Notamacropus eugenii: one gene and its partners. The protein of the gene in region 3 interacts with the protein of the main gene of each other region in a pairwise test. Links are inferred from orthologs where the notes say so. Each region holds a gene or a part of one and is shown on either strand. Other genes may lie near its edges. The genes, in order: TRIM41, PACSIN2, MEOX2 and SPRY1.

Region 1 (7,878 bases), on a different chromosome or scaffold from region 3:
GAAGATATATTTTTTTCTTTAAAAACAGCTATTACAAGGCCAGGAAAAGAACATACGTGTGGTGCCAACAGAAATCCACTGAGAGCTCAGCCCCTGCCACATTATATGCATTTATCCTCTATCAATCTTCTACTCTCACATTTTGCCTCCCCCTCTTCTCTCTCCTCTGCCTTAGTATTCCAATGGTTACTTAACAGTACTTGTAAACTCTGCTGGTGGTCCTCAAAATCAAAGAGAATGAAGATTCCATGAAGGAAATAATTTTTCTCAGTAGTGGAATTGTATTTACAACTTTTGACAAAGTAATTTATAATAATTACAGTAATCAAGTAATTCACAATTATCAATCTGTTATAACTACTTTTATAAGTTCCTATCTGTCAATATGACGTTCTAACTGATGGAACAAAGATTGTCAAAGGCAAGAACCATGTGTTGAATTTTGCATCCTTCTCTTTCCTTCCCCAATCAAAGTCCAATTCAGTATTAAGTACAAGTCTCCACAAATAAAAGAAACTCAAAAAAAGTTGCCAATTGAACTAAAATTCAGGTCTAGGATTCTGCTGGGAGGCATGCCTGGAGAGAATGGGCAAGTACTGAATTTATTCTCAGAACCAATATTAATTTCACATACCATTGTGGAGAACCCAGTTCAAAGAAGTATGAGAAATACAAAGGAAAAAGTAAAAAGACTTAATCCCCTTCAGGCAGTTTACAATTCTAGGTTAGGTGCGGGGATCATGATGCTGTGAATTAGATAAACCCAACTTGGCCTCAATGTACAATTCACTCTATTATACAATTAATTCTTCATTGCTAAAGTCCAACAACACAGCCAAGTCCTAAAATAAATGAGGTGTCAACCAATCTATAAACAGAATTCAAAGGTGGGATCTCAAAAAGCAGCTACTCAGGAAAAAAATAGAGGTAGGCTAATGTTGAAGCAATAAGGGTGCTAACATTCTGTCTCCTGCTTTATAGTATAAACTATCCAATTACTTTAAACTAGTCAGCAAGGCCAGAGAATGAAACAGGTGTGGTTTTGAGGAGCTCCCCAACCTCATTAATTATTCCAGATTTATACCTGAGAGATGAATAATTATCAGCTTACTTTTAGCCTGAAGTGTTTCCCCAATTTTTCTCCTAAAATTTCTCTCTCTCCATCCCTGTCTCTAGGAGGTCTCTGAATCACTCTGTCAGGGCCAGGGTTTTCTTTGGTTACTACTACTACTTACTACTACTACTACCACCACCACTACTACTACTGCTAAAAACACCTGTGAGGTGACCCACAGAAAGCAGCAGTGGTCTCCCTGGCAATGTGACATTGTGCCCAGAATATTATGAGGACAGCCATCCCAGTTTCTACCATGCGAAACACCTACCTCAGAGGGTTGACTGAAGGATAAAATGATATTTGTCAAGTGTTCAGCACAGGGCCTGGCACCTAGTAGGTACTATATAAATGCTTATTCCTTTATTCTCTATATTATCCTCCTGTTTCTCTAGGTAGGCCTTCTCTAGTATGAAGCGGAAGTGATAAGGTTGAATGTGGGATGAGATCTGGCAGGGAAAGGGCAGTTACCCTCCTCTACTCCCCCTTCCTGACTCTGCTTCCTTTCTACCACCCCAAGACTGTGTCCCCTTCTCATTCTCACCTTGTACTCCTGCACCACTTCCTCCAATGGCACCACACTGTGTTGCTTGTGGTTTCTCGATTCCCGGCACACCACACAGATAGCCTCCTCATCCACTTCACAGAACAACTTGAGAGCCTCTTGGTGCTTGGGGCATACACCTTGTTCGTTCCCCCGACTTCCTCTCCGAGGGGCTGGGTGCATTTGCCGAATGACCTGCACCATGTTGGCCAACTGTAGGTTGGGTCTAAAGCTCCTACGGGGAAAAGTCTTCCTACACTGGGGGCAGGTGAATCTGCGCCTAGGAGCAGGGGTTGGTGGTGGAGGGGTGGCTGGCTCTAGCTCTTCCTCTTCATCTTCTTCCAATACCTCCTCATCTTCATCTTCTTCCTCCTCCTCACCCCTCAGCTCCTCTTCCACATCCCCCAGGTAGTAGTCCAAATCTTCCTCTTCCTCCTCATCCCACACATAGTCCATGTTGTCCCAGGTGGGGCCATTGATGCTATTGGTCCAAAACTCTTCATCCTCTTCCTCCTCCACTTCTTCCTCTTCCATATCCCCCTCGTACTCATCCTCTCGCATGGGGGTGTCCCACCCACCACTGGCACCCACTGCCTCCACCTCCTCTTCTTCCCCTTCATCTTCTTCCTCCTCCCTCTCCTCCTCATCCTCTCCACCCCACAACTGGGTCACACACACCCTGCAGAAGTTGTGCCCACAGCCAATGGACACGGGATCTGTAAAGTAATCCAGGCAGATGGCACACACTGCCTCCTCTTGGAGGGTCTGGACTGGATTGGGTGCCATGGCAACGGCAGCCATCTTAGTCTCAAATCAACCAGGGAGGGTTATCTGCCAAGGGCTAGGGCAGGGAGGCCAGGAAAACGGAAGGGGGTGGGAAGAGGGAGATTCTTCCTTTTTGATTCTACAACCAAATTCCCTTTCTGCCCCCGTTTCTCTTCCCCACTCCCAACGGGGGCCACAGAGGTGCCCTGACCCAAACACACACTGTGGCGCACCTGCGCGCGCACGCACACGCACACGCGCGTACACACACACACAAACACAGTTTTTAGCCCCAAGAAAGCGAGGAGCTCTAATTTACAAACCTAATTGACAATAGCCTTTCCCACCCACTCCCACCCCCATGCTGCAAAAGGGACAAATGGCACTATTTCGGGCCCTCCCGGACTGTTTCCTCAGTCTGGGTACTGAATGCAAATCCTACCTAACTCCTCCTTCCCCCTCCTCATATGGTTCCCTCCCCTCACCCCTAGCTCCTCCCCTTAACTTCCTGTAATCTTTGCTTTACTTCCGGCCTCTTCGCACGCCCATTTCCTTCCACCCGGGCCCTCCTTGGCTCCTTATGTCTTGGGCTGCCCCGCCCCCTCCCTCTCCTCTCTTCTCCGGCTCTCGCGCTCTCAGCTAACAGGAAGTGGGCTAAAAAGCGGCTCTCCTATAGGCGCCCGAGGCGGAAGAAGGGGCGGGAACAGAAAAATCCGGGTCTCTATGGTACTTAAGGAGGCCGGGGCCGTCGCATTGATTGGAGACTCTTCCCCCTCCCCCCCCAATGAAAGACACAGGTTGGAGGGGGGGAGGGGAATAGGAAGGGCGACGCTCTAGGCCATCCGTCGAAGCGTCTTCCAACTTCGCGTGCGCCGTTGCTACTCTAGCCCCCACGGAGGTCTTGGGCAGCTCCAACCAACAGGCGGTTACCGGAAATGGAGTGAAGTTGTGGGAACAGGAAGACCAAGAGGAAAGTTTTACGCCTGCGTTCTTGTAACCTTCCGGTCTTTCTAGCCCAGGAACTTTGTGGTCAGGAGGACTCTAGACGATTCCATAGAGGAGGAATTTGGGGGGAGGTCAGTCGCTTCTAAAGTGAACCCCCACCGAAGGACAGTGGGTCTGGCAAGAGTAAGACTGCGGGACTTAAAAGACATAAAGTTGCAAGAACTGTTGGGTCGATGTTCACTCCCCCTTTGTGAAGGGCTGGGTGTGAGAGCTTAGAGTACCCAAAATTTCAGACTCCAAAAGAGTCGAGCTTCGAGCCAGTAGTGAAATGTGGGCCCGAAAGCAGGGATGACATTTGGCCGATGGTCCTAGGTACCATGAAGTCCAATCTGAAAAGAAAAAGCAAAAAAAGATCCCAAGGAGCGGTTCGGGACGGCGTTTCCTTTAGATTTGGACAACTGATACTGAGCTACTCTATAGCTGCTTAGGGCTTGGGGGATAACAAGCCTCGCTAATTAGTTTCCGTAGTGTAGTGGTTATCACGTTCGCCTCACACGCGAAAGGTCCCCGGTTCGAAACCGGGCGGAAACAGTTTTTTTTTTTTTTTTGGTTGGAAGTTACTTTAGTTGACTTCTCCTTTTTCAAGTTACAGCTTTCTCTGTGTATTTGTTACCATCCTGCTCCTTCTCTCCTCCCACTTACTATTAATAATTAGGTAGCCCACAAAAGAAATAAGCCTAGAATGGAAGAGAAAAGAAACATCAAATCTGCTTGAGCCAGTCAAGAGTCCTAGCCTCCTGGGACATATGGGTCAGAGTCGTTTTTCAGTAGCCCGGCTAGCTCAGTCGGTAGAGCATGAGACTCTTAATCTCAGGGTCGTGGGTTCGAGCCCCACGTTGGGCGGAAGTTTTTTCTATCCCCTTTCTCCTACGAAAGAGAAACATGTTGCTCACCTGTTTGTTTTTTAAAATTTTCTTCCCGTCTCTGTTCTCTTACTATGAAAAAGAAACGTTGCTTACCTATCTCATTCTACTCTGTCCCTTTCATTCGTCTATCTGTTTTTGTATTTTTCTTCCTGCCTCTGTTCCCTTATTTCTCCTCTTGTCCCCCTTTCAGTTGCTCAGTCTTTCTTTTAGTTCTCATCACTTTGCTTCTGCTTGCACAAACCTCAAGACTTCGAAAATTAAGATACAAAAGTCTGAAATCTTGGGTGCTCTAAGCCCTCACATCTACTCTTTCTTTCCATTCATTCCCTTCCGGAACGTAAGGGTAGAGGGGAGTTCGGTGTAGACAGCGAGCTGTGGGGCGGGGGGGTCTTCGGGGGATGGAGAACAAACAGGAGAAACAAGAGAATGGATTCAGGTAAAGCACAGGAAATGAATTACCCTTTCAACACTTGGCAGGTGACTTCCTCTTCTGCGAATGCGCAGAAAAGGGAAAGGGAGGCGGCGGGAGGAAGATGAGGGAGGGAGGGGAAGGGACCTCGGGGTAAACGGAGAGCATCGGAAACTGGAGCTGTGGAAGGAAACCCAGGGATGCAGGGGGCTTTTCTCTTCCCCCTCCCCCGCTTTCCCCTCTCAGATTCTGTCCAATCGCTGCTGGGTTTAGGGACCCAGGACTCCGTGCTCCCCACTCCCCACCCCATTCCCCATCTAGCGCCCTCTCTTCTCCAGGATCCTGAGCTCTGTCCATCCTCAGCTTCGCTAACTTGGATCCGGGGCATCAGGTTTTCAAACCTTGGTCAGTCCAGAAAGCCAGCGCCTGGCCTTTCCTAAAGCAGGTGCTCATTGAGAAAGAGAACACGAGGGGAGTCTGGAAAATCAGGTTTCGGGTTTGCAAACCGTAATCCTTGGGCCCCGGAGCCTGATCAGAGTAAGCCTTCGGGGCTGAGGATAGATAGATAACCTAGGGCTGGAGAAGTGAGAAAACCATTCAATCTCTTAGTCTTTTCATCTGAAAAATGGGAGGTTGGGCTAGATGATTTCTAAAGTCTCTTCCCGCTGGAAATCTATGGTTCAGTCAACTGCCAGGTAGCCGGTCAAAACCAAAACGTCATTCAAGATGACAATGGGGTTCCTTTCAAATTTCTCTAATCTTGTCTCCCCTAAAGTGAATTGGTTAGGTTCGGGTGCTCATAATGCTATAGCGTAGGTTCAATCCATGTTTGTGAGAGAAATTGTTATTTCTCTCTTATATTAACAACCAATTATTAATTGAGATAAGGTTTCCTCTTTCAATTTCCTCATTCAGATATAACCCTTTGAATAATGTCGTTGAAGGACATTGCTGATAGATAAGATTGCCCAAATCCTCAGGATATATGCTTGGTTGGAATCCCACCCAACTACAAAACTTTACATAGAGAATCTAATCTATATGAATTTCTGCCCATTCTGCTCTATGCAGGCAAGCTTGCGAGGGGGGTAGCTGGAGGTGTGTTCGTCCTTCGTTGCTGAAGAAGACCATGCCATCAGAGAAACAATGACATGACTTAACACTTGACTTTGTTTTGAGGGAGGGAGGGCTGTGCAGGTCACCAGCCTCACTTCTCCCCCAGGGCCATCTGAATCCAGTGACCAGATATTCTTCAGGATGACTGGAGATGACCCAGGATGAGGCAATTGGGGTTAAGTGACTTGCCCAAGGTCACACAGCTTGAGGTGGTCTTCGGGGAGAGGAGTAAGAGTGACATCATTATCAAAATCACGTACCCCAGCCCCTCATTAGAATAGGCCCATCTGTCATTGTCTCATTAATTAATAACCAGTCAGAGTTTATTTCCGACTATGGGGAACACTAACTTTTCTGAACCCGTATAAACCTTGAGAGGCCTCCATGATTTCTCTTGGTTCACTAGAGAAATTCCAATGACCATCCTTTTATTAATTATTTGCTAACTATAGTCAATAAAATTATTAATTACCAAAAATTGTCTCTTGCACTTTTTAACTGCATCATATTGGTAAATGAATAGGTAAATGAATAAAATTCCAGTTCCAATTTCTGTTTTACAGTTTCAATAAAACAGAACTAAGAATGATATAATCCTGATTGTGAAAGGAGGTCATGGTGGAACTCCTTGGTTGGAAGAAGGATTCCCTCAACCTTAGACTATTTCTGCCAGCTGGAAAAATCAAATATTGAAGATACTCATACATTATTTATGGAACCTTAGGATATTTGTCTTTCCATCTCTGCTCCTGCCTTCATATTAACATGTTCTCAGTTCCATGACATAGAGATTCATACCCTTAGTATTTATGTGTTATGAGAAATGAGAATTTCTCCTTAGTATTTAATAACTAATTATTTTATTAGCCCCAATTCAGAAACCAATTGGGTAAATCTCCAATATCTAATCAGACAGAAATTCTAAGTTTGGATTAATGGGTGCATTACTGTTCCTTGTGTTGGCTCAGACTAGTGGGAGGGTGGGGAGGAGGGGGAAATGTTGATTCTCCTTTGTCAAACAAGTAATAGGGAAATGGATAAGTCTCTGACCAACATGTGAGTGATCCAAGTCATGTACCCCAAGACCTTCATTTTAATAAAGTCCACCTCCCATTGTAATATTCATTTTCTCATTGTTAACTAATCAGAATTGGTTGCCACCCCTCACTTACCCTTGGAAGGCTATATAAACTATGAGCCCACCATCATGAGGGAGGGATCTTTGGTCTAAGAGAGATGACCATCCTTTTTATTAATAAATATGCTGGCCTTATTAATAAAATGATTAAATTATCCAGAAATTATGTCTCGGAACTCTAGTTCCATTTTCATAAACTCTGAAATTCCTTTATCATAATCATTCATCATTCCATCTGTTCCCATGCCGTAAGACATTAATCTTGATGTTCAACCTTAAGTGACTTCCACCACTGCCACCTGACAGAACTTTCCCAGGCTAGTATCACTTCTGAGCTACCTATATACTCCTTCTTTTCCTATCCAGACTCCTTGATGAACCAGTTCAACTTTACTCTTTAATCTCTTGTCTCTGTCCAATCTGAAATACTTCCTTGACAAATTCTAACCCTGGATCACTCCCACAATCTGCCCCATTTGCTTATATTCATATGCTCTTGAATTAAAGCTAGATCACTTGATTATGGAATCTGTACCTAATTAATGGCTCTTTGCTGGCTGCCTACAAACACACTCTTGTTTCACCTATTTAAGAAAACACAAAATAAACAAAAAACCCTCTCAGCCATTACACCATTTGGGCTAGCTAACCTCCTTATATTTCCCCTCCTCTTCTCAGCTAAATTCCTTGAGATAGCCTCCTCCATTCCCAGTTGATAAATGGTCAAAGAATATGAACAGAGAGTTTTCAAAGGAAGAAACCCATGCTATCAATAGCCATAGGTAACAGTAAGCACTCTAACATACACAGGGGAGCCTGCTATCAGAGGCTTTGATCTGCTTTTCTAAAAGGAAAGACAGTTTTTGAGGGGTTAACAATCTCTTTTAATCAAGCACATATATCATTCACTTAGTTCAGGAA
Region 2 (7,454 bases), about 290 Mb from region 3:
CCCCCCCACTCAGCCTTCACTAGTCTGAAGCAAAGCAAGCCCACCTCCTCAGGGGATCGATCACATCTGCCATATCTGACCTTCCAGCCTAGCCTCCCATCTCTCTGCCCTGAGGTCCGAAGCATTTCCTCACAATCCCCTTGGGACTTCTAAAGTGCAGGCATCCACTTGGCCAGTGGTGCCTTTGGCCGGCTGATGTCCCAGGTCTGGGAGCTGGAAGCCCTTAGTGGGAATCTTGAGATCAGTCCCCAGCACCTTTGGAAACCTCCCTTTCCTCCTCTATAAAATAAGGAGGGTGATCCTTAGATGAGATAACGGGTTTGGCAAACTTGAAATGTTGGCTCTTTCTGTGGTTTATACTCCTTAGCTCCCAGAGTTGCTGTGAGGAAGCTGATTTTTACCTTTAAAAATGTGAGAGAAGGGATTATTATTGTTACAGATGCAAATGCATTCTACAAGCCTTAATTAAGCAGGGCTACCAAGTACCGATCTGGTGCTGGGGATGCAAAGTCAAAAATCAAATGTGGCGAGTGGTGAGACAATGTAGACCTGCACAAGGATGTCCAAAAAAGAAACAGATAAAAGATGTGGGAAGGGGAACCTGAGGAGGGTGGCCCCTGCGAGATGAGCCTTGAAGGAACCAAGGGCTCTAAGGGGGAGGGGAGGAGGAAAGGCATTACAAGCAAGGGACCCAGTTCCAGTACAATGGCAGGAGATGTGTGAGAAAGAAAAAACAAGTCTGCTTGGCTGGACTGACGCATTTGCAGAGGGAAAGCGACCAGCTGTTGGGCCTGGTTGGGAAGGTCTTTAAAGTCATCACAGAAGAGTTTTAGGTTTGATGCTGGGGATAATAGGGAATCACTGGAGGTTACGTAGGGGAGTGACATGGTCAGAATCAGGGGTGGCTGCATGGAAGCATCCCACAATTTCAATTTGTTTAATAAGCATTTATTAAATGCCTACTGTGTGAGCAATATGAGCAGGATTCAGGTATACAGAGAGCAGGCATCCCCAAGCCAGGAGGGTGGCATTTCAGAGCTGGCAGGGATTTTATGGATCACCTTGTCCACCTTCTTATCTTACAGAAGGAAAAAACTAAGGACCAGGAGAAGGGACTTGGCCAAGGTCACAGCTGAATCGGGCTATGTGGAGCTGGGAGGAGATGGGGGGGGGGGGGGGCATCTAGAAGCCAGTAATCCAAGTGTTTAAAGCCTTGAACTTTTCCACCTAGTTTAGAGGGTTGAACGGAAAACCCCAAAGGAGACAAAACAAAGCACTTTCACCCCCCTTCCCCAAAGGAATAGAATATCCTGACAAGTAGTTCCCCAGAGCTGAGCAAGGGGTGGGGGCTCCCTTGAAATTAGGCCAGGAGCCTTGCTGGCCTGTGCAGTCTCTGGGGAGCCCTGAACAGGGCCGTGGGCCTCTCCAGTTTCTCTCTCTGTTCTTACACCAGGAAATAATTGATACTCAACACCTGAATTCGCCTGCCTTGTTTAGCTTGTGGGTGTGGGCTGGGGAGGGAGCTCCCATTGGCCTGGGCACGAACACTGGTTTGGCCCCTGTGATGAGCAGTGTGGCATTCTTAGACACCTTACTGATCTGTGGCCTGTCCTTCAAGGCCTGCCTTGAACAAATCTCTCCAGCTTGAAGTGACCTCCTCATTGTGTGACCTCTGTCGATTAGCAGTCAACAAATATCTGTTAAGTCCCTGCTATATACCAGCTACTGTGTTCTGTTCTTTCTGGGCACACAGAGACAAAAATGAAACAGTCACTTGTGCTGCTTATGTATGTGGGGGATATACCAGGTCGTTTGAGGAAGGGAGAACACGAACCCCTGGGAATGGGGTAGGCCAGAACCCAGAGGAAAAGGCCTTCAAGTGGTAGAAGGTGGTGTCTCAGCTCAGACCCCAGAGAGATCTGGGAAACTCAAGTGAGGAGAGCATTTCAGCCCTGAAGGGACAGTCCATGCAAAGGTATGGAGGTGAAAGATCAAGGGCAGCAGGAAGGTATGCCAGCGTGTGGCCTGAGAGTGAGGAGGGGGTCCAGTTGTGAAGAGCTCTGAATGCTCAACTGAGGCTTTTAGTTTTGATCCTGGAGGGTAATAGGGAGTAGCTGGAGTTGATAGTGGGAGAACAGGGCTGGAATGCTATGGTCAGACCTACATCTCACAAAAATCTCTTTGGTGGGTGTGTGGAGGATGGAGCCAAGTGGTGAGAGACCAGAGGCAGGGAGACCAAACAAGACTGTTGCCAGATGCACATGCTGGTCTCCAAAAGTCTTAGTGTAGTTTTAATATTATTGATAGCTTTAAGCTTAAAATGCCACTGAGACTTTGAGGACATCCTGTATAAACTAGGAAGTTTGAGGGCTTCCACTGACCTACAAAGTAGCTGTGGAAGCACTTTACAAAAGAAGCTCTATGAGAATTAATAGCCAGTATATTTTACCAGGGGCTATACAGGTAATGACTTTGCTCCCACAGTCTCAGTTCTGTAATGCTTGGTAGTTGACAAACTACCTACAAACTTCCTACCTACAACTCTGTGAGGTGAGTACTGCAGGGATTACTGCCCCCCCCACCCCCCGTTTTATGGATGGGGAAACTGAGGCTCTGAGCGGTGACCTGACTTCACCATTGCCATAAGTGGCTGAGGTGGAATTTGAATCCAGGTCCCCGGCTCCAGATCCAGTATTGTGTCTGGACACTAATATTTGGTGGGTGGTTGTCCTGCAGGCTGGCCTCTCAGGAAGGAGGGAAATCTTAACTTGACTTTCCAGCTTGGTATAATTAATTCTATTTGACACCTCCCCCACCTCCCCACAAACCTACACCTGCATTAGACACAGCCTCGAAGTGGAAAGAATTTGGGTCCCTTCCCTGAGTGCCTGTTTCCCCATCTGTAAAATGAGAGGGCTGGACTTGCTCCTTTCCAGAGCTTAGGAATTTGAAGAGTAATAGCTGAACTTTTTACAGAGATTGAATATTTGCAAAGCACACATGATCTCATTCAAGGCTCACCATGGCCCCATGACCAGAGTAAATCCTAATTGGATGGATAAGGAAACTGAAGTTCAGAGAGACTGTCACTGGCCCAAGGTCACAGTACTTGAACTTGCCTGTCCTTGAAGGAGAAACTGAAGCCTCAAGTCACCTAGTGAGAACAGGAAGCAGAACTGGAATTGGGATGAGATCGGAGCCTCCTGGCTGCTAGGCTGGAGGGATTCTGACCTCATGGTAACCCTGGGAGAGAGGTGCTGCTAGTATCCCCATTTTACAGTTGAGGAAACTGAGGCAGAAAAGGTGAAGTGACTCCAGCAGGGTCACTCAGCTAGTTAGCGTCTGAGTTTACATTTGCACTCAGGTCTTAGTGATTCCAGGCCTGGTGCTCTCGTCACAATGGCATGCACTAGCTGCCATTAAGTGTAAGGACAATCTTGCTTTTCTGTGTTAACTCTGACCTTTCTTCTGTTCATTCCTCTGCATTAAAAAAAAAAAGTTGATGCAGGCTTCTGTCTGCCTTCTTCCCTCCCTATGTTCTCTGGTCGTCCACTCTCCTTAAAGGAGAAAGAAAAGAAAAACCAAGTCCTTGTAACAGGTAGGCATAGTCCAGCTAAACAAATTTCCACCTAGAGTGAGACTTTCTTGAGCCCCTACCGTGTGCGGGCACTGTGCTGGGTATGGGGATTACAGAGAAACCGATTGATCAGTCCACATTGGTGAAGTCCCTGCTATGTGCCAGGTGCGGACCTAATCAATGAATATTTGTTAAGCCCCTCCCGCGGGCTGGGCGTGGGGAATTGAGAGAAATGAATCAATCTACATTTATTAGGCACCTACTCCGTGCTGGGTACTGGGTACTGGGCACAGGGCTGGAGCGAGTGCAATGCAAGTTACCCACCAGGTAAACGAGGAGGGGGGCTCCGTGGCGCCGGCCTCCGCCCTCGGGGTCTTCACTGCCTCCCAAGAAGTGGAGGGGCAGCCTGGGGGGGTTCCGGGGGTCGGGGGAATCACGTGCTGGGCGAGGGTCCCCCCGATGCCCAGCGCAGGCCGGCTCAGCCCCACCTGGGGTCCCGACAAGCTCACCCCACTGTCATTCTACAGAGCGGGAAACCGAGGCCCGGGGAGGGCGGTGACACCGGGGCTGCCCCACGTAGACCGGGCTCTGAGCCCTTAAGAAACTGTAACTAACTAATCCCCGCCCCCGCCCCTCGCCTCCGGCTGGTTAAATAGCAACCAGCTCCGATCGACGGGGAAACCAGCCAATGGGTGCTCAGAGAGTTTCCCTCTGGCGCGCCGGGGGCGTGGCCTTGGCTCCCTCGGCCCCCGCTGAGCGGGCTGTCCAATGACCGGAGGCAGAGCCGAGAGGGGGCGTTGCCCCTCGGGCAGATGGCCAATGGGGAGCGGGCAGGCGGGAGGCAGGGCCGGCTGGGGCTGGGCTGGGCAGCGGCGGGCGGGGAAGTCAGTTGGTCCGTCTGTCCTTCGGTCCGTCGGTCCGTCAGTCCGTCCGTCCGAGCGAGCGTGAGCAGGGCCGGGAGGAGGCGCGGGAGGCCGGGAGCGGGCCGAGGCGGGCTGTCTGCGGCCCCGGGCCGAGGTGAGGCGAGGCGGCGGGGCCCGGCCGGGCCGGGGACCGTTGGGGGAGGGGGGAGGGGGAGGGGAGGGGGAGAGGAGGAGCGCGGGCACGAGTGGGACGGGCACGAGCACGGGCCCCCCCGCCGCGCGGGCGCTGCGCGAGGCCGGGGCCGGGACTGGCCCAAGGTCGCCCGGGCCGGCGGCGGCCGCAGGGGCGGGACTTGAACCCGAGCTCTCCGGGGCTGCGATGACCAGGGCCGCCTCCTCGCCCGACCCGCGGCTAGGCACGGAGGGGGAGGGGCCGGTGCGTTTTCCGGGGTTTGTTGAACTCCCCGAGTTCGGGTCGGAGTTCCTAAAGCGCCTACTGTGTGCCAGAAAGGCAGCGCCCTTCGTTCCAGGGAAGGTTCATTAGGCACCTACTCAGGGTTGGGGGGAAGGGAGACCGGAAGAGCCCTTCACTGAAGGGGCGCCTTGGACCCCGCAGGTGAAGTTCCGAGCAGGTGCAGACGCGCGCCCGCCCCGGAGCGGCCCCCCCGGAAGGGAGCCCCCGAGTTTGCGGGGTCTAGCCCCGCCTTAGACTGTGAGGGAAACTGAGGCCGGCAGAGGGGGCATTGCGTGTTCAGCATCCGCAGTGAAAGTGCCGGTGTATGTGCGTATAACGTATGTCACATACGTGTGTGTCCACTTTCATATTTACTCCATGTAGTGAATATGTAACTAATACAAGGAGGTTTTTATGTTCACGCCCACCCGTTGTATAGGCGTGTATATCCACTTTGATATGTTACGGATATAATACGTGTGACTAAATAGTAATTATGTAATAATTATCTACATATTCTCTCCAAACACACACACATATGGGATGGGGCAAAAGAGGGAGCCAGTCTAACAGAAGAGGAAAGCAAGGATGAGAAATGACAGCTCCTTCTCCCCCCTCCCCCAACTTACAAGGTTGTGGTTGGGTTTTTTTGGGGGGTGAGTGGGGATATTGGCATGTACACAGCTCATTGCACACAACGTAAAGAATGACTAAGGGGGCCTTTGTGGGAGACACTTGAGAGGGCTGAAGGGGAAGGGGTTCCTGGGGGTGGGGTTCTCTTGGAGGAGCAAGCTGCTGGATTTGAGGTGAGGAACCTGGGTGTGTTAGTGGCATTGGGTGAGCTGGAGAGGGTGATGATTTAGCTGAGGGAGGGGTGTGGGGAGATTGTTGCTGCTTGGGACGGGCCTTCTTTGGAAGGGCAGGAAGCTGGAATCTTTAATAACTTGCCCTGGGAGCCTGGCCGGCCCTTCTGCAGCTGGGCTTATTTTCAGGTCCCCTGGGGTTATCCTGCTTCAATAGCAGTCCCTTGTTCTCCCTCCCTTTCCCCTTCTGGGACACACTCTCCTATGTGTGGGAGGGATCCAAGGCCTCCCCTGCTGTCTGCGATGGGGGCTGGTGGGGAAGAGAGGGCAGTGAGAAAGCATCAGAGGATCGACTGAGTGGTAGCCTTTCAGAACCCTGGAATTTTCCTAAACTGCCTTTGATGGAAGCCCAGGGTGCCCCATTGATCTGCCACAAGTGGCACCCTATTTCCTCCCTCCTCCACCCAGAAGGAGTGCATTTGTACCATCTGCGGTGTGGAGCATAAACTTGTAGTGACCCCCCTCAGATTATCTAAGATTCGGTCTGGGGGAGGAATTGGAACCTTTCCTAAGCCTAGCCGGTGCTGCCCTTGGAGGGACTGAGGGAGAGCAGTGCACTGGAGGTGAGTCAGGCCCCCTAGGAGAGCTGCCTCTTCTGCCCCCGTCCCCTTCCCCATTTCCTGGTGGCTGAAAGTCTCCACAGTGACTTGTTTGTCCTGTTTACGAAGCAGCCCAGGCTCTGGGCTTTCCCAGAGGTGCTGATGATCATCCAGATCAGCTTGAAGCATTTCAGCAGAAGCTGCAGCAGAACATTTGCTCCTTTGTCCCCCTCCTCCCCAGCTTCCTCCTTTGCACTTCTCCTGAGGAGCTCATGTTGTCTCCCCTCCTGCAGCTTGCAGGGGCAGTGCTGGTTGCCTTCACATTCCCTCGTCAGACTCGTCCTTGTATGGTTGCCAGGGTTCACTTACTATTTCCCTTGCTCAGTATGGGAAACTTTTCTTCTGTGCAAATATAAATTCAGTCCTAAACCTTCAGACAACCTTGGCAGGGTTTGCCCAGGCAAAATCGGAGGCCAGTGGATCGAAAAAGTTTCTTGCGTGGTGCTTTTGGGGGCACAGTTCTCCTGCATCTTTTAGAAACCATGAAGGACCATTAAGATGGATAATACTTATTACTTGGGAGAGGTGACCTAAGCTGGAGAAGTAGATCAGTGAGTGGGTCTCTGGAATCTTTCTGCTCTTCTAGAATCAGATAAAGACCAGCCATAACCAGTCTTGCTCGCTGTTTTCCGGAGAGGTATCCACGATCTTTGTTGTTACCTCTGAGCTGAAGTTTTTAGGAGGCCACATAGATGTAATGAGCGATGGAGAGGGAGATGGATTAGTTTTCAGGTGGTTAATGAATGTTTCCAGCTGAGTTCCAGAAACCCAGTCAAGGTTACAGATGGCCAGTCCCCATTCCTAAGTGGGAGAGCCTGGGCATTTGTTCCAGAGCTGTTCATTTCTTCTGTTTTTCTTCTTTTCTTAAAGGTACATGTTTACTGAGTGCTTAGTTTGTCTCCCTGGAAGCCAGAGGATAGAACTGGTGCCTCTGATTTGTACAGGGACAGTTTTGGGATATGATGGGACATTACAATGTATGCATGAGTTCCTTGACTTTAATAGTTTGCTCGATCCATTCTGTATTATTTAGTGTTCCTTTCTTCTCCAGTCACACCATGACTGATACAGGGTTTCATTGTGACCTAACACAGATCA
Region 3 (7,326 bases):
ATGAGCTTCAACAGGCAAGAATACTGATTTGCAAGATCTTATTTTGCCATGTTGCGAACCAGGGCCAAAGACAAATATATACAATCTTGTGGAAAAATGGGAGGGGAGCAGTTTTCTCTGGAAACGATCACCAAAGAGAAGTTAATTCACTCCCCTCTTCCTGTCTTTCTCCAATCAAAATAATTGTGTGTGGGTGAGAAAGAAAAAAAATAGCCCATTGGTTCAGATCGGTAAACAAAAAGAACAATTCATCCAATAAACTATTCATTTCCAGAGTTCCTGGTGCCTAAATATGTGACCTAAAATGTCTTTCACTTACAGCGATATAAAATATTGTGTTCATAAGAGACTTTTACAAATTCTATAATGTCTGGACTTTGAAGGTGCCTGCCTTCTCCCCATGTCCAAGGAAATAGGTATAACAGTAGGTTTGATTAATATTATTATTTGTCACCATTTTAAGAACATTACACCTGATTTGTCCAGTCCACCAATAATGTATGAGAAAATGGATTTTTTTTCTTCTTGGATAAAGAAGCCCTGATGTGGGAAGGCTATGTTCACTCCTAACACTCAAAAGAAGGGGCTAGATTGTGAAGTTGTGACAGGATGATTTACATCTGCCTCACAGCCTCCTTGAAAAAGTCTCCTTCAAGCCTAATGCTGAAGAACATTCGGATCCCACATAAAACACTTTAAGCCCAAGATCTCAAGTCACTTTGACTTTACTATAGTTTTGGTAATTTTTTTAAAGCTGATAACCCATAAAATGAGGGGGGTGGGATACATTTACCAAATGATTGTTTAAAAAAAAACAAAAACATCATGGCAGTCCTTAGATTCAAGAAGAAAATAAGGTGCCTAGGCTTGCTACCGGAAATACTCCAAGAATGCCTTACCCAAAGATCGCTTACTAGTTTTCTCGCTGGCTCTGGTGCTGTGAATTCAGCGGTGAATCTTTACAAAGAGTTAGAGATACTTCGCCTTGCCCTTTTCCTGTCTGACAGATCAGATTTCCAAATCTCTTTGCTACGGCTTCCCCATCGGAGCAACCTTGAGTGCCTCAGGCTTGGATTTGTTTTTTGTTTTTTGTTTTGTTTTGTTTTGTTTTGTTTTCCTGAACCCTGGGTAAATCGGCATGTGGCAACACTCTCAGCTTTTGGACAAGACCCCCTCTGTTTGTCTTCTGGGTTCTCACCACTTGGGAAACAACTTTCCCTGTTGCGGATACGAGAATTTCGTGCTCCAGAAAGCACCCCCTTAATAGCGACCAATATTAAGAAACATTTTTCCCCCAATACACGATTAGTTAACTGGGCAACTACTTTTTGGAAATCCACAAAGGGCGTCCTTTACATATAGACTCAAGTGCAAACTTCAGACTTTGGAAATTGCCCCTTACTCCCCAATTCTCAGGGATCCCCACTTTTTCACTTTAGGAATCTTGGATTATTTAAAATATTCTTTATTCAGAATAAAGGATATATGTTTGTTTTTTTTCTCATGAACTTTGCCAGGTTCTACTGCAAAGGTTCCAAAGATTGCACAAGAATTTGGAAATCCAGTTAAGTATAGGAAAAGGGGGAGGAAGGGCTGGCTGGTGACTGCCGAGTGAGTCCGAGGCAGCCCCACTAAGGGCCCGGCACCAGCAAAAGCGAAACAGAGACTCTGTTCCACAAATCTCCCTTTTTAGCCTAGAGAAAATGCTAACTGAGCAACTGAGAGTAGGCGCTGTCACGTGCTCTCGAGTTTCCCCTAAGCCCCAGATGCCAGCAGAGTCCCTGCCTCAGTCTACGTAGCCAAGGGTACTGCAGCGAGCGTCTCCACATAATCCTAGATAGCGGGAAAGGCTCGAGGAGTTCTGACCATGGCCTCGCGAAGTTGAGAGAAGTTCCATTATACTCATTGGCTGCAAGTCTACCGCGCTTTCAACACTCAATAAATACGTCACACGTTCTTGTGTGTATGTGACTGTTCGTCTATGCATCTGTGACTGTCTCTGCGTATGTCCTGTCCTCCTGTGTGTGTCAGAGAACCTGCCTGTCAGTGCCCAGACACCTGAGCGTGTATGGGTCTGCGCATCAGTCTCTATAGCTAGTCACTTGTATGTCTCTGAATGCGTCCGTCAGGGTACTCTTCTGTCTGTTGGTACCTGTGTGCTAGTCTCTGTGTGATTTGTGTGTGTGTGTATGCGCGCGCGCGCTGAGCCTCTCCCTCTGGAAATGAGCCCAGTTGCCCACGCTGGCGGTGCCGGTCCACTAGGCAGCTGGCCTAGCCCACTCCCAGCGAGGAATCGCCCTGAGCCCCCCGACGGCTCCTTACCTGAACTGTCACTCTTCCTCTTACCCGCCCTCTTCTCCGCGTCCCCGGGTGACAGCGCCTGGCGCCCGTAGTCCCCTGGCGCGCACGCCGCTCCCGTGGGCGTGCTGGCCCCCAAGCTGCCGGACGAGGCGCACAAACCCTGGGCACTGCCGCCCAGCTCCGGGCCTCCGCCGGCGTCTGGTTGTAGGCACAGGCTGTGGCGGGCGGCGGCGGGCGGCGAAGCCAGGGGCGGGAGGTGCCAGCTTCCCTGCAAAGCCTGATGCTGAGGCGGAGGTGGCGGTGGTGGAGGCGGCGGGGGTGCCTGGGGGTGATGGTGGTGGTGATGGTGGTGGTGGTGGTGGCCGCGCGGGTGGTGCTGGCTGGCGAACATGCCCTCCTCGTTGGCGTAGCCAGTGATTATGCACGACGAGGCGGAGGGCGAGAGCTCTGGGTAGGACATGTGGTCCGAGCGGCCGTGGAGGGCCAGGGATGACTGCGAGAAAGGGTGCAGGCCCTGCGCTGTGCCGTGCGGACTGCGCAGGCAGCCGAAGAGCGGGTGCTCCATAGCATGCGAGGCGCGGCTGCTGCCCGGCGGCGGGAGCTTGCGGACGGACGCCTCCACCTCCGCTGTCCTGGGTAAACCAGCAATGTGCTCAGAGCCGCAGCCTCCGGTCCGGCCTCGGGCTGTCCCGCTTGGCCCCGGCCTGCCCGGCTGCGACGGGACAAGAGAACTCTGGAGGGCTGAGTCCGGCGGTGCGTCTGTCGGACCGGCCGGCCGCCGGCTGCGCCAGCCCCGGGAAGAAGCAAGAGAAAGAGAGGGAAGGAGGAGGAATCCTCCCGCTGCGCTGCTGCTTTCGGACGCTCGGATGTCAAGGGGAGGAGGGGGAGGAGGACGAGAAGGAGGAGGGGGACGAGGAGGAGGAGGAAGAGGAGGAGAAAGGTGGAAGCCAAGAGAAGGTGGTCCCAGAGAATGCTGCCTGCCTGCGAGGGGGAAACGGCTCCGGGAGGTTATAAATAGAGTGTAATGTGAGCTGGGGGCTGGCTTAGGAACCCCGCGCTGACCACATGCGGACTCCCTCCCAAACTGCCGCTCCGCTCCCCGCCGGCTCCGCCGCCGCCGCCCAGCCTGGGTTCCTCGAGCCTCCTCTGTCCACCTCCCCCAGCCCGGGTAGCTCCTGGGTGGCACACCTAGCTGGGCCCCCAGGGAAAGGGGGGGGACTGTAGTTTTGATAGACGGCCCCAGGGGAGCGCCCCTATACATACATTCATATACACATGCAAACACTCACATATATTCGCACACACATACACCCACACTTACACACCCACACACAGGCGCACACCCATTCTCACGCCCACCCGCTCTCGGATCCTGAGCGTACGAGCCCACGAAAAACTGGTGCAAAGTTCCACTTTGTTCTTTCCGGGGAAATTTTGTTTCTGCTTATTTGTTACTTTGTTGGAAACATTGTTGCTATTCATGCACATCTGCATGCACATCTGCAAATAGGCGCCGCTGGGAGAAGCTGTGTAGCTGCGCTAGGGTAGGAGCCGACAACCTGGCAGTGCCCTAGTTCTGCAGGCGGAGCCAGAAGCTGGGGCAGATGCTGCTCCCCGGAGGGGTCGCGGGAACCGTGCCATACTCTCCTTTTTCTGGGGTCAGAGGGGCGTATAGTTGATGGGTCACAGAGTAGCAGCCCTGTCTGAAGTTGCGGGGTTGACTGGACTTCTGGCGGAAATAGACTCCTATCTCAAGGGGAAAAGAGGCTGAGGAACCGGGTGGGAGAGGGAGGAAGTGAACCTTAGGCGGAGTCAGCCTGATCCCAAACCACCAGCAACCTCACCTGCAGTCCCACACCGGGCTGAGACAAACAGCCCTTTGTGCGAAGGTCTTTTTTTGATCCGTTTGCCTGAATTCTCTAGAAGAATCAGAAATCAACTAGTCCTCAGTGCAGAGATGTGTTTATAGTATCCCCAGACTCAGCTCAATGCCTCAGGAGAGGTTTCTCCCTTTTTATCCCACCCTACTCTGAAGAAAACTCACAAACCTTCAAACTCGGGTTTGGTATATGGAGAACGCCGAGACTCCACTCCCTCGGCTCCCCAAGGAGGGATTGGGGAGGGGGGGGGGCGGTTGGCCGCTCCTTCTCGGGAGCTGAGGATACAGATGTTTTCTACCTGACCAATTTTTATTTTTCATTTTCCAAGTTGCAAGAAACTCAGAGGTCGTCTGGTCCATTCAGCCTTAGAAACTTACCTTTGCGGGAAGTTGGATGGGAATTTTCTTCTAGTGTGTGTGCGTGGGGTGGGGTGGGGGGAGGGAGGCAAATAACCCATGAACACACCCTAGACACTTCTCTGATCTACCACCACCACTTCTGGGTGCTAACCTCCCCTTTAAGGACTGAGACAGGGCAATGGATTCATAAAGGTCACAGACTGGGTGGGAAGAGTCTGTAGAAGTATGTCAGACCCTAATCCGAGCTGTAAATACTCTTCCCTATCTGGGCTCCTTCCCAAGATCTGAGCCTGACGGCAGTCTCAGGAAAGAACGTGAGGGCCTCAGTATTCTCGTTGTCTCAAGTGTCCCTCCCGAATAGTGATGGACCCAGAATCTTTGAAGAGGAAAGAAGAGACACTACGATAGAGCGGACATGCGGCTTTTGTTAGGAATACTCTCTACCATCCACTCAGGGGGTTCCCTAAACTTCACTGAAGCCCGACTTGTTCCATCCCTGTACTCCCTCACTCCTGTTTACGCCCCTTTTACCTTTTAATCCCTGGGACAATTTGTGGGCTGCCGATGGCCACACAACCTCAGAACCATGTGAAAGATAAAATTATTATCCTTGGCTGGGGTGGGGGGGGGGGGGGGACCAGGAATTCTACGATTTGTGAGAGCTGTTTTCTTAAACGGAAATTGAGCCCTATTCTGAGGGAAATTAGTTTTGCAGACTTTGGTTTAAAAAAAAAAAACCGAAAACTTTTGTCCACCAGCTGCCTGCCTGCCTGCCCTGCTCTTTAGGGCAGTGTTGGTGAGAACAGGGAGCTGTAGACGGCCAGGGACCAACGGTAAGCCAGACGGGCCCTGACTGATCTGAGGGAGACCCTTCCTCGTGATGAGGCCCTCTACTCTCCCAAAAGCATGGCAAGGGTGGAGGGGTACCTACTACTCCCTTCTGAGGGGAGAGGGGACTATGGGCTGGGCCCAGCGTATGAAGGAAAGGGAGGGGGCGGTTCGGTTACCATCGGGGTGGAATATTTGTCTGATTTCTCCGTGTGTTTATGGTTTCAATATGGGCTCTGATATTAAACCTTAAAGTACAAAGGAAAACAAGCTCACCAGGACTCTGAGCTTGGTTAGCCCTAGCTAGCCTGTGGGCAAAGGCAGGGGGGTGGGGAGGAATTAAGAAGGTGGTCAAGAGAAAGCTTGGCACCCCAATCCCCGCGCGGCACCAAGAACATTGGGAAATCGCGACTTCCCACTTGGTACTCTTCAATCCCAGGGAGACTGAATCGGATCCGCACCGGTTGAGAGCTGTGTTGAGCTCTGGGAGCGCTGAGAAGAAAGAGACTAGCTCGTATGCCCCAGGGTTCAAACCAGAGAGTTCTCATGCTGGAGAGTTAGGTCCTCCTAGAACAACTGTATTTCAGGTAAACCTAGTCAATTAGCACCAAGAGACGCCTGCTTGACTAATTTCTCCTCTCGACTGTCCTAGTACTGAGCTGACTTCTCTTCTGTCGGTCTCCTGGATCAGGTGTTAATGGATGGCCTATGATAGGGTCCTGAAATTCTCAACCAACCTGCCCCTGTCAATCAGTCGTTAGAAGCAGCTGGCGAAGAGGCTGGAAAGGGAGGGAGGGAGGGAGGGAGAGAGAGAGAGAGAGAGAGAGAGAGAGAGAGAGAGAGAGAGAGAGAGAGAGAGAGAGAGAGAGAGAGAGAGAGAGAGAGAGACAGAGACACAGAGAGACAGAGAGAGAGAGAGACAGACAGAGAGAGAGAGAGAGAGAGAGAGAGAGAGAGAGAGAGAGAGAGAGAGAGAGAGAGAGAGAGAGAGAGAGAGAGAATCAAAGGAGCGAGACACTCTCCCAGTCCAAAGCTTAAGGTGAAGGTGTGGGGAACTCGAGAGATATTCAGGACCACCTCTCCACGCGTAAGTTAGCTTTCTAGGAAGGCTAGAAGGCTCTTACAGGAGAAATGCACGCAGGTCCTTTTCCACAAGTTACAGGAAACTGAACTTGAAATGAATTTCATCGTTTCCTGGAGAAAATACTAAATATAAATACAGATGTGCATATGCGCGCATATATACACATAAATAGGAGCATGATTTTTTTAATGTCACTTTTAAAAATTGATCATGTTTGGAAGTAAAATCTTTTGATTTTTGGTTATCTCGTAATTTCCCCATTCGGAGAAATCTTTCTTTGTGGGTCTTATATAGTATGCATGTATGTATGCATGTATGTAAATACAATCAAGAGTAAGGGAGAAAGAAGAGACGCACAGCCGTACTTTCTATTTTCCCTCTCTCCATCAGTTACAGAAAGCAAAGCAGAATGATAAAATTCCACTCGAATGGCTAAGGTATCCCTTTCAGTGTCTGAGAGCTGTGTGAAGTTCCCGATCACTTCTATTAATTTTGAAATGATAGGATGCTTGATTTATTTATTTATTTTTTGGCTCCCATGTTGTGACTGTTTCTGCAAAGTCACGCTACGGAGACTGGCATAAATATGGGCATGGAAATTGTAAGTTTTCTGTAAATATTAATTGAAAAGAAAAAATAAAAATCTCTGAGCCTCAGTTTCCTCGTCTGTAGGATAGCGGTAACGCTGGCATTTCCTGCCAAAAAGGAAAGTGCTTCGTAAGCTTGGGAAAAGAAAGCTGTGGTAAGGATTGCTGCAGCAATCGAAGCTTTTTAATGCACTCAGTTCCCTTTGTTTCTGCACTTCCCTGACAAAATCACAAAAGGAGATCACAGGCCAACAACTTTATTTATTTATTTAACAAAGCTCGGAGAC
Region 4 (7,967 bases), on a different chromosome or scaffold from region 3:
AACATGCACAGTTTTCTCTCTACACATGGGAGCCCTCCTCTCCAAACCATCAAGAGAACGCATCTGCGTTTAAATGCGCTCAGGTGCACCCCTGAATTCTCCACCCCACCCCCGTGGCGCTGAAAGCGGTCCCCCCAGAAGCCCACCTACCGATTTCGGAGCGGTCACCAGGGGCGAATTCGTCCAAGCCCGCTCCGCGTAAGACCCACTGCGCGTCCAAGCGCCCGAGACGAGCATTAAACAGAGCTGCCAGGGCTTGCGGTCGGCATCCCCTCAAAGCCGAACTGAGGCGAGGCGAGGGTTAGCGAGCCCAAGGACTCCCCCTCCCTCCTCTTTCCGCCTCCTCCTCCTGCTGTGGCTGCGGGAGGGAGCCTTTCCCCGGCCCCCTTTTGGCTGCAGGAGAGAATTCTTGCTTGCAATTCTCTGGAGGAGCCCAGCTCTCTGCCTCTCAGCAGAGTGAACACCCCCTTCCAAGGGGCTTCCGTCTAGCAAGGATTCCGCAGGTAGAGTGCTGCTCCGAGCTTTGCCAAGGGTCTCCCGAAAAAAAGTTAGAGGGGGAAGAAAAACAAAAAGAGGAGGGGAGAGGGGAAGGATTAGAACGAGGAGGTTCTCCCTATTGCAGGAACAAGATCCTTGGATCTAAAGGCAGTTCTGACGGCAAGGTTTCTCAGCCTTCAAATCTCCCCAGTTCTGATGCTGAGAATTCCAAAATAGGGCGGGGTGGAGGGAGGAATGAGCAGTCTTCAGCCCTGGATGCAGAGTGGATCTCAAAGCGGCGTTCCCAGTCAGTCCCAAAGATGCCAACAGCAACCGAATGCAGCTGGCTAGTCTGCAGGCAGGCAACGGAGGGGTCCAGCGAGGATACGCCTGAGACTCCTTTTGGAAAGTTCTTCAGAGTCTCGGTGGATTTCACTTCGGGGAGTATTCTCTTCCCCCCACCTTTCTTTTGCGGGAAGGGGTGGGATTCCGAATAACCCCACGACGTCGCGATGGCAGGATGTCCTGTGGTGTGGAGTCTTTAGATCTCCTCTTGCCCAGGCTAGGATGCTGTCACGCTGCCTCCTTCACTCCACAGCAGCTCTTCTAGGGTGGGCACAACGTGCCAGCGCCTCAGCTCGTTGGGCTCAGTTCAGGCCCAGGAGCAGGCAGTGGGGCGCAGCTTCAGCTTGCTCGCTCGGCATTCCAGGTCCACGTTCTACTCTGCTGCGGAGAAGAGAGTGGCGAGAGAGAGCCCATTAAGTAAAATGCGTGGTTGTCCCGGAGGGTGGCTCGGGGCAGGGGCAGGGGCCGGGGCCGGGGCTCCCTCTCCCGTTCCCTCGGCCCCCAGCTAGGCAGCCAGCCAGCCTGCCTGTCTACCATGTGCCTGCTGTTGCTCTCCGAGTGATTGACAGCGGCCCCGTAGGCATGCATGTCAGTCAGCTCCCTCACCCGGGAGCCAGCGCCCCCCGCACCCCCCGCCCGCTTCGACAGCAGGGACTGCAAAGGGAGGTCCCGGGGACACTTCTTCAACCCCCCTCCTACACACACACACACACACACACACACACACACACACACACACGCACACACACGCACACACACACACACACACACACACACACACACACACACACACACACACACACGGTGGGAGGAAAAGGGGTCCGCGCCCTGGAATTCATGCCCAGAGCCCGGGCAGACCTGGAGGCTCCCACACACACACGGCCCCGGCACCTCGCGGGGTGAGCAGAGGCTGCAAGTCCGTCCCGGCCGCTCCCACGCGGGAGGCTGGGGGGAAGCGAGCGCGGAAAGCCAGCGCTGCCCTCCTCCGCCAAGGCCAACCCCGCTCACCCGTGCATTCCCCCTCCCCAGCAGCGCCCCGGGAAGAAGAGTGAGGAAACGGCTCCTACCTAACGCCAAGACTGGAAGTGCCTTTCCAGACACGCACCTTTGCCGTCTGGCCACTCCGGGAGCCGGGCTGGAACTGCGGCGCGCGCCCTGCCTGCCCGCCCGGCCGCCTGCGACCGCCCGCCTCGGAGAAGCCAGCCCCGCACGCCCCGAAGCCGCATTTCAGCGCTCAGCCTCCACCTCCACCTCCGAGCCGAGGCCCGCCTCCAGTGATATCATGTGTCCATCACGGGAACTGCTCGAAAACCTGGAACAGGATTTCCTCTGACAGGCATTTCCTCCGTGGTGTTTACAGAAGTGGACGGGGTGCAGGCATGCACTTGCACGTTCGGTCTCCCGAGGCAGGCAGGCAGGCTGCCCTACTTGGAGCTCTTTCCCTGAGCTCCAGCCCAAGGGGGTCTGCAGAGCCTTCCGGGAGGGGGGAGGAAGAAGGAGAGAGGGAAGGAGGGAGGGAGGAGAGGGACAGAGAGGGGGAAGGAAGGAGGAAGAGACAGAGACAAAGACAGAAAGACGAGACAGAGACAGTCTTCCCTAAGCCAATGGAAACTGCTTGGAAAGCATCAGAGCAAGTAGAGAGTTGCCCATCTGAGTTATATAGTCCCTGGGAATACTAACTGGGCAGAGAAGTTTGTAGTTAATGTTCACACACACACACACACACTTCCGATTACCTTCATACATTCTTTGTAAAGTCTTCTACGCACCTTGTCATTAGCGTGGCTTCACCTCGTTAGAATGTACACTTCTTGAGGCCAGGGACTTTTTCCACTTTCTTTTCCTCTGAGGAGTTGAGCATAGTGCTAAGCAAACAGTAAGCATTTAATGAACGCGTGTAGACTGATTAAATGATTAAGTGATCTGCCCAAGAAATGGGATTGAAAACCAGGTTCCTTTATTTCGGCGCAAAGTTCATTTTTAACAGAATTCAGCAGATGCCCAACTTCAGCGTTCTCTCCTGGGCACCACAAAGCTACCAGAGAGGTGCCTCACTGCATGTTTGGAGGCTGGCTAGCACCCGGAATGTGACCTCAGTGTTTCAGAAAAACCAGAATTCTAAACACACACACACACACACACACTTTTGATGTTTCAAAGGGCAGGTGCATTATATAATTTCCTAGATTGAAAACAAATATATTAAGAAGCAAGGTCAAATAAAAGTAATGAAAAACGCTGTGTCCTGTCCTTTACCACGGATTTTGCAAGTTTGGGAGGACTAAAGTTGTACTGCTTGTAGGAAATGTAACCCCAAAGCCCTCGGTAGCCCATGGCATCTCATGGTCCTTAGTAATCTGATATGAGTCGCTGAAGGACCTAACAACTTTCTCTGCATGTATAAATGAGACTGTTTTTTAATTTTCTGGTAACTTTAGATTTTAAAACCTTCAATACCCCCAATCAAACAGATTCTAGCCCCCTGGAAAGCACATATTGCCCATAGGAAAGATAAGGTCTTAGTGTCACTGCTTCATCATTTTTTTAAAAAAAGTAATATCTTAAAACTAAAAAAAAAAGTATATTTAATAAAAGCAGACTTCCCCCCCTTTAAGAAATCAAGCAAGCTTAGAATCAGGCAAAAAAAAAAAAACAATAAAAACACAAACTGTCATTAATTTATTATTAAAATTCTTCTTTCTATCTAAAGTCAGATTTGGACATTTTTAGCTCAAAGAAATATTTTGTAATTTTTTTCGTCAACCTTTTCTATAAATTGTGTTTTTTCACCATTGACAAGTGATATTGATGATGGTGGTGTTTATTCTTCTGGATTTCTAACGGCTTCTACTCTGGGAACCATAGTTGGGACAGTTTTCAAATTACCCAGAGTAGGATAAAAATGTTATCACTCCAAAAGAGAACAGAGTGAACATAATTCTGGGATGTGCCCAAGATCTTTGCAATGTACAGTTCTGCTACAGGAGTCATAGTTTAGTAATCCCAACATGATACCCTTAGGGAAGTTTTCTGATTTTGAATCAGTCTAAAGTTTGGTGCTAGCATTTGCCTTTACCAAAGACATATTAATTTTTAGGCACTTTTGATTGAGCTGAAATTTATTACTAGGAGGACAAGAAATATTTCAGCCCATCTCAGGATCTCATTTTGTTCTCCAGTAATTCCTACTCAGTGTATATCACAGTCATGGAAAGATGTGATCACCACTTCACCGATACTGCAAAGCCAGGAGAGGGAGCACTAAACATTTCTTTAAAAAAAAAAAAAAATCAGTTTCTCTGAATAAATTACAGGTAATTTTGGAAAATAAATGGAATGAATGATTTTTTCAAGAGAACATATATATTTAAAAATTTGCTTTTGCAGTAATGAATAGTGTTGATAGTGACTAGACCCATGGTTTCACTGGATTATGAAAATTCCAATCAGAAAAATCCCTTTACAGATACTGGTGTTAAGAGAGTTACCTAGAGCACAGAGAAGCTAAGAGACTCACCTAGGATCACTCAGCTACTATCTGGCAAAGAAATATCTGAACCCAGATATTTTTGGCATTGAGGTCAATATCCACTATACCAAGCTGCCTCTTAAAATAAATCAGACTTGTCATTCATTATCATTCATGAGTCATTCATGGTCACAGAAAATTGACTGTCATAGTGGGGAAAGTTGACTCATATAGTTTTCCATTCTTTGGTGTCAAATGTAGACATACATCTCTACAAAGTAATTTTTTTGTTTGTTTTGTTGATGATGCTTTTTGATTTTCTTTTTTATAGCACCACCATCATTTTCTAATATACCACATTTCCCCTATCTTCCATTCCCATAAAATTTCCTCCTGGAACAAATATATGTAACCTGTGGTCCAGCACCATGAACTCTGGTTTTATACAGGTTGATAGTGGCAGCCTACAGTTAATCTTCCTTCAGAAAACTAATGAAAGACGGGTTGCTAGACAGGCAAAACTGCCATTCTGGGGAATCCCACAGGCATCCAGCTTTGCAGCAGTATTATAGTCCTTCCGGAATATAAACCCTTTAAGATGATAAATAGGTACCATTCAATGAATGATCCTACCCTGGAAGAATGCTTAGAAGTCAATGAGTCCAATCCCTTCATTTTAGAGATGAAGAAAGTGAAGTTCATAGAGATTAAAGGATTCACCCAAAGTCAAATAGGTAGTGAGTAAAATTCAAACTCAAGTCCTGCAAACCCCAAGTATAGTGCTTTCTCCATTGCACCATGTTGGTTTCAGCCATCGGAAAGAGATATATAGGCATCTGGCCTCACAGAACTGCTGTGACTGATTGAACTCCTGTAGAAGGGAAACACACTTAATAGAGTAGCAACCCCAATATCCATTTGAACCATACTATTCAAATGACTCCTATTAATAATGGAGTACAACATCTGGATCCCTTCTTTCCTCATATTACAACCATGGTCCCTTGCTGCTTTTCCTCCCAACTTTGGACATCCACAAAGAGGCTAGCTCTGCTCAGGAGTTCTTTTATCTCAACAAAAGGTTGAATTCCAAGATTCTAAAATTTGAGACTGCTAGAAAGGCAGGCAACTCCCAAGGCATTTGCTTCCCGAGGTCATTGCTAAAGAAACATTTAAGGGATTTGGGCAGCTAGGCAGTGCACTGGATAGAGTGCTAGAGTCAGGAAGCCTCAAATGGCTATGTGACCTTGGGCAAGACACTTTAACCTCTGTTTGCCTCAATTTTCTCATCTGTAAAATGGGGATGATAACAGCACCTACCTCCCTGTGTTGTTGTGAAGATTGAGATCATAATTGTAAAGTTTTCAGCACAGTGTCTGTCAAAAGGTACGTTAGCTATTACTATATATTAGCTATTCTTATTATTATCTCACAGGGTGGTTGTGAAGAAGAAATGAGATAATAACTGTAAAGCACTTAGCACAGTGCCAGGCACAAAGTAAGCTCTATATACATGTGAGTTATTATTATCGGTATTAGTATTAGTAATCACCCTTCTTTTACTAGAAGTCTAGATTACAGGTTCAGGAACATTCAGGAAGTTACTTTGGCATTAGAGAACTTATGGTAGTATGCTGGCTCTACCACTTCTTACTTTCATGAGTTACTTAGCTTTTCTTTGCCTCAGTTTTCTTATCTGTAAAATGAGAGGGTTGGACTTGATGGCTTCTCAGTTCTAAATCTATGATCCTACTCAAGAAATGGAACTGTTGAATTTAGTATTGCAAGAAAAACAAAACCAAGAAAAACCTCTCCCCCACTCAGACCATATGGCTTCTGTGTCCGGGGCTGCCATGGAGTTGAAAGCATGGGATTGCTTTCCCAAGGAAGGAATGGCTCCTGGAGGTTAGAGGTGATAAGCTTAACTGGTGAGCCCAAGAGGCTGATCCTCATTCTGCTAAAAGGCAGAAGGGTCAAAGTAGGAATACCTCTGAAGATCCATGCAGCAGAAGGCAGCTGGAATTCATAGCAGGGTTCTCTTTTCTACTTCAATCTAGGACATCACCATTGTTCCAGTTGCTAAAGTTCAGAACCTTGGTGACTCCTAAGTCTCACACTATGTGTCCAATCAATTGTCAAATTTTGTTTTCTTTTCCATCTGCCTCCTTGTCACTCACATTGTCAACACCTTAGTTGAGGCCCTCATTGCCTCTGTCCTGGACTATTGTAATAGCCACCCCTGTCTCAGTTCTCTCCCCACTCCAGACCATGCTCCACATAGCTGTCAAGGTAATTTTCCTAAAAGTCAGCTCTAATCACATCACTGCCCTTTCAGTAAAGTCCAGCGACTCCCTATTTCCACTTGGATCAAAGAATATTCTATCTATATCTCAACCTCTATTTTTACAATTTTATAGTTATTAGTTACATATCAGGGACAAGTTTTTCATGCAGTGTAGTAAATGTAAAATAATTGAATATAATTGAACATAAATTAAGTGTATGGAATAAAACTATTTGGAAGTCACTATTATAATGGAATGAGCACAAGATCTGGAGTGAGAAGACTGGGTTCCAAATCATAGCTCTATCACTTAGTAATGGTGTGGCCTTGGGACAGTCACTTCACTTGGGATTACACCCTTGAGAGAAATTTAGGAAAATTAGGCATTTTAGTGAATTCAAATTCAGTTCAATGTTTATTAAGAGCCTATGATGTTCATGGAACTGGGCTACATACAAGATAAACAGAGACCAAAAGAGAAGAGACAAGAAGAGAAGAGATGAGGAGAGAGGAGGAGAGGAGAGGAGAGGAGAGGAGAGGAGAGGAGAGGAGAGGAGAGGAGAGGAGAAATTCCTATCCTCTAGGAACTTACTTCATAGGAAGAGACACAACATTTACAAAGATAATTAATTATCATGTAATTTGAGGAAAGGGAAAAGTGCTAAAAATGGTGGGATCTTGAGAAGCTTCACAGAGGAGGTGACCTGAGCGGAGAATTAAAGAAAGCTAAGGATTCTGGTGGCACAGTGGTCAGAGCAGGTCAGAAAGACCTGAGTTTAAATCCAGCCTCAGATACTTATGAACTATGAGATTCTGGGTAAATCACTTAACCTCTGCCTGCCCCAATTTCTTCATCTGTAAAGTGAGGATAATAATAGTACTTACTACTCAGGGTTGTTGAGAAAGTCAAATGAGATAATGGTTATAAACTTCTTAGCATATTGTTATAGAAATGTTAGCTATTATTCTATCATATTTACATATCACGACTTGTTCAACTATTCCCCAATTTATAATCCCCACCCCGCCATTCTCATTCATTCTTTGGCATTTCAAAAAGAGCCGTGAATACTTTTGTAAAATTCTTAGAGTTTCTTTTATTTAAGACTAATTCCTCCCTTAATCAACCCTTCTAATTCCCTTCTCTTTCCCTATTTCCCTGTTGAATGAAATGTATTTCTGTAGTCACCTGTTTATGTTCTTATCTCCACTGACCAGTTCAGATGAGTGTTGTTCATATGTCAGCTTCTCCAACCACCCCTTTTTCCAAGGTTGTATAGATGTTGACTAGTGCACTTGATTTTATGAGATGTGCACTCCCCCTTCTTCTCAGTGTATTCTTCTTCCTTTCTCTTTCCATTCTTTTCTTAGGATCATTAAGTCATAACAAAA

The links.
Region 1: the proteins of MEOX2 (region 3) and TRIM41 interact in binary tests that used the Homo sapiens proteins (3 or more experiments, as listed by UniProt). The two-hybrid records come from large-scale screens. The link is inferred for Notamacropus eugenii from reciprocal best matches to the Homo sapiens genes MEOX2 and TRIM41.
Region 2: the proteins of MEOX2 (region 3) and PACSIN2 interact in binary tests that used the Homo sapiens proteins (3 or more experiments, as listed by UniProt). The two-hybrid records come from large-scale screens. The link is inferred for Notamacropus eugenii from reciprocal best matches to the Homo sapiens genes MEOX2 and PACSIN2.
Region 4: the proteins of MEOX2 (region 3) and SPRY1 interact in binary tests that used the Homo sapiens proteins (3 or more experiments, as listed by UniProt). The two-hybrid records come from large-scale screens. The link is inferred for Notamacropus eugenii from reciprocal best matches to the Homo sapiens genes MEOX2 and SPRY1.

What each region holds. Positions count from the first base shown.
Region 1 is NC_092873.1:80,976,984-80,984,861, forward strand, and holds the start of TRIM41 (E3 ubiquitin-protein ligase TRIM41), read right to left. Parts: upstream 3,370-7,878; 5' UTR 2,460-3,369; coding exon 1,659-2,459; intron 1-1,658.
Region 2 is NC_092874.1:301,775,030-301,782,483, reverse strand, and holds the start of PACSIN2 (protein kinase C and casein kinase substrate in neurons protein 2), read left to right. Parts: upstream 1-4,405; 5' UTR 4,406-4,594; intron 4,595-7,454.
Region 3 is NC_092874.1:8,790,901-8,798,226, forward strand, and holds the start of MEOX2 (homeobox protein MOX-2), read right to left. Parts: upstream 3,296-7,326; 5' UTR 2,867-3,295; coding exon 2,323-2,866; intron 1-2,322. UniProt on the Homo sapiens protein: Mesodermal transcription factor that plays a key role in somitogenesis and somitogenesis and limb muscle differentiation. Required during limb development for normal appendicular muscle formation and for the normal regulation of myogenic genes.
Region 4 is NC_092878.1:161,416,628-161,424,594, forward strand, and holds the start of SPRY1 (protein sprouty homolog 1), read right to left. Parts: upstream 3,043-7,967; 5' UTR 1,928-3,042; exon of another isoform or gene 1,890-1,927; intron 1,204-1,889; exon of another isoform or gene 1,201-1,203; 5' UTR 151-1,200; intron 1-150. UniProt on the Homo sapiens protein: Inhibits fibroblast growth factor (FGF)-induced retinal lens fiber differentiation, probably by inhibiting FGF-mediated phosphorylation of ERK1/2. Inhibits TGFB-induced epithelial-to-mesenchymal transition in lens epithelial cells.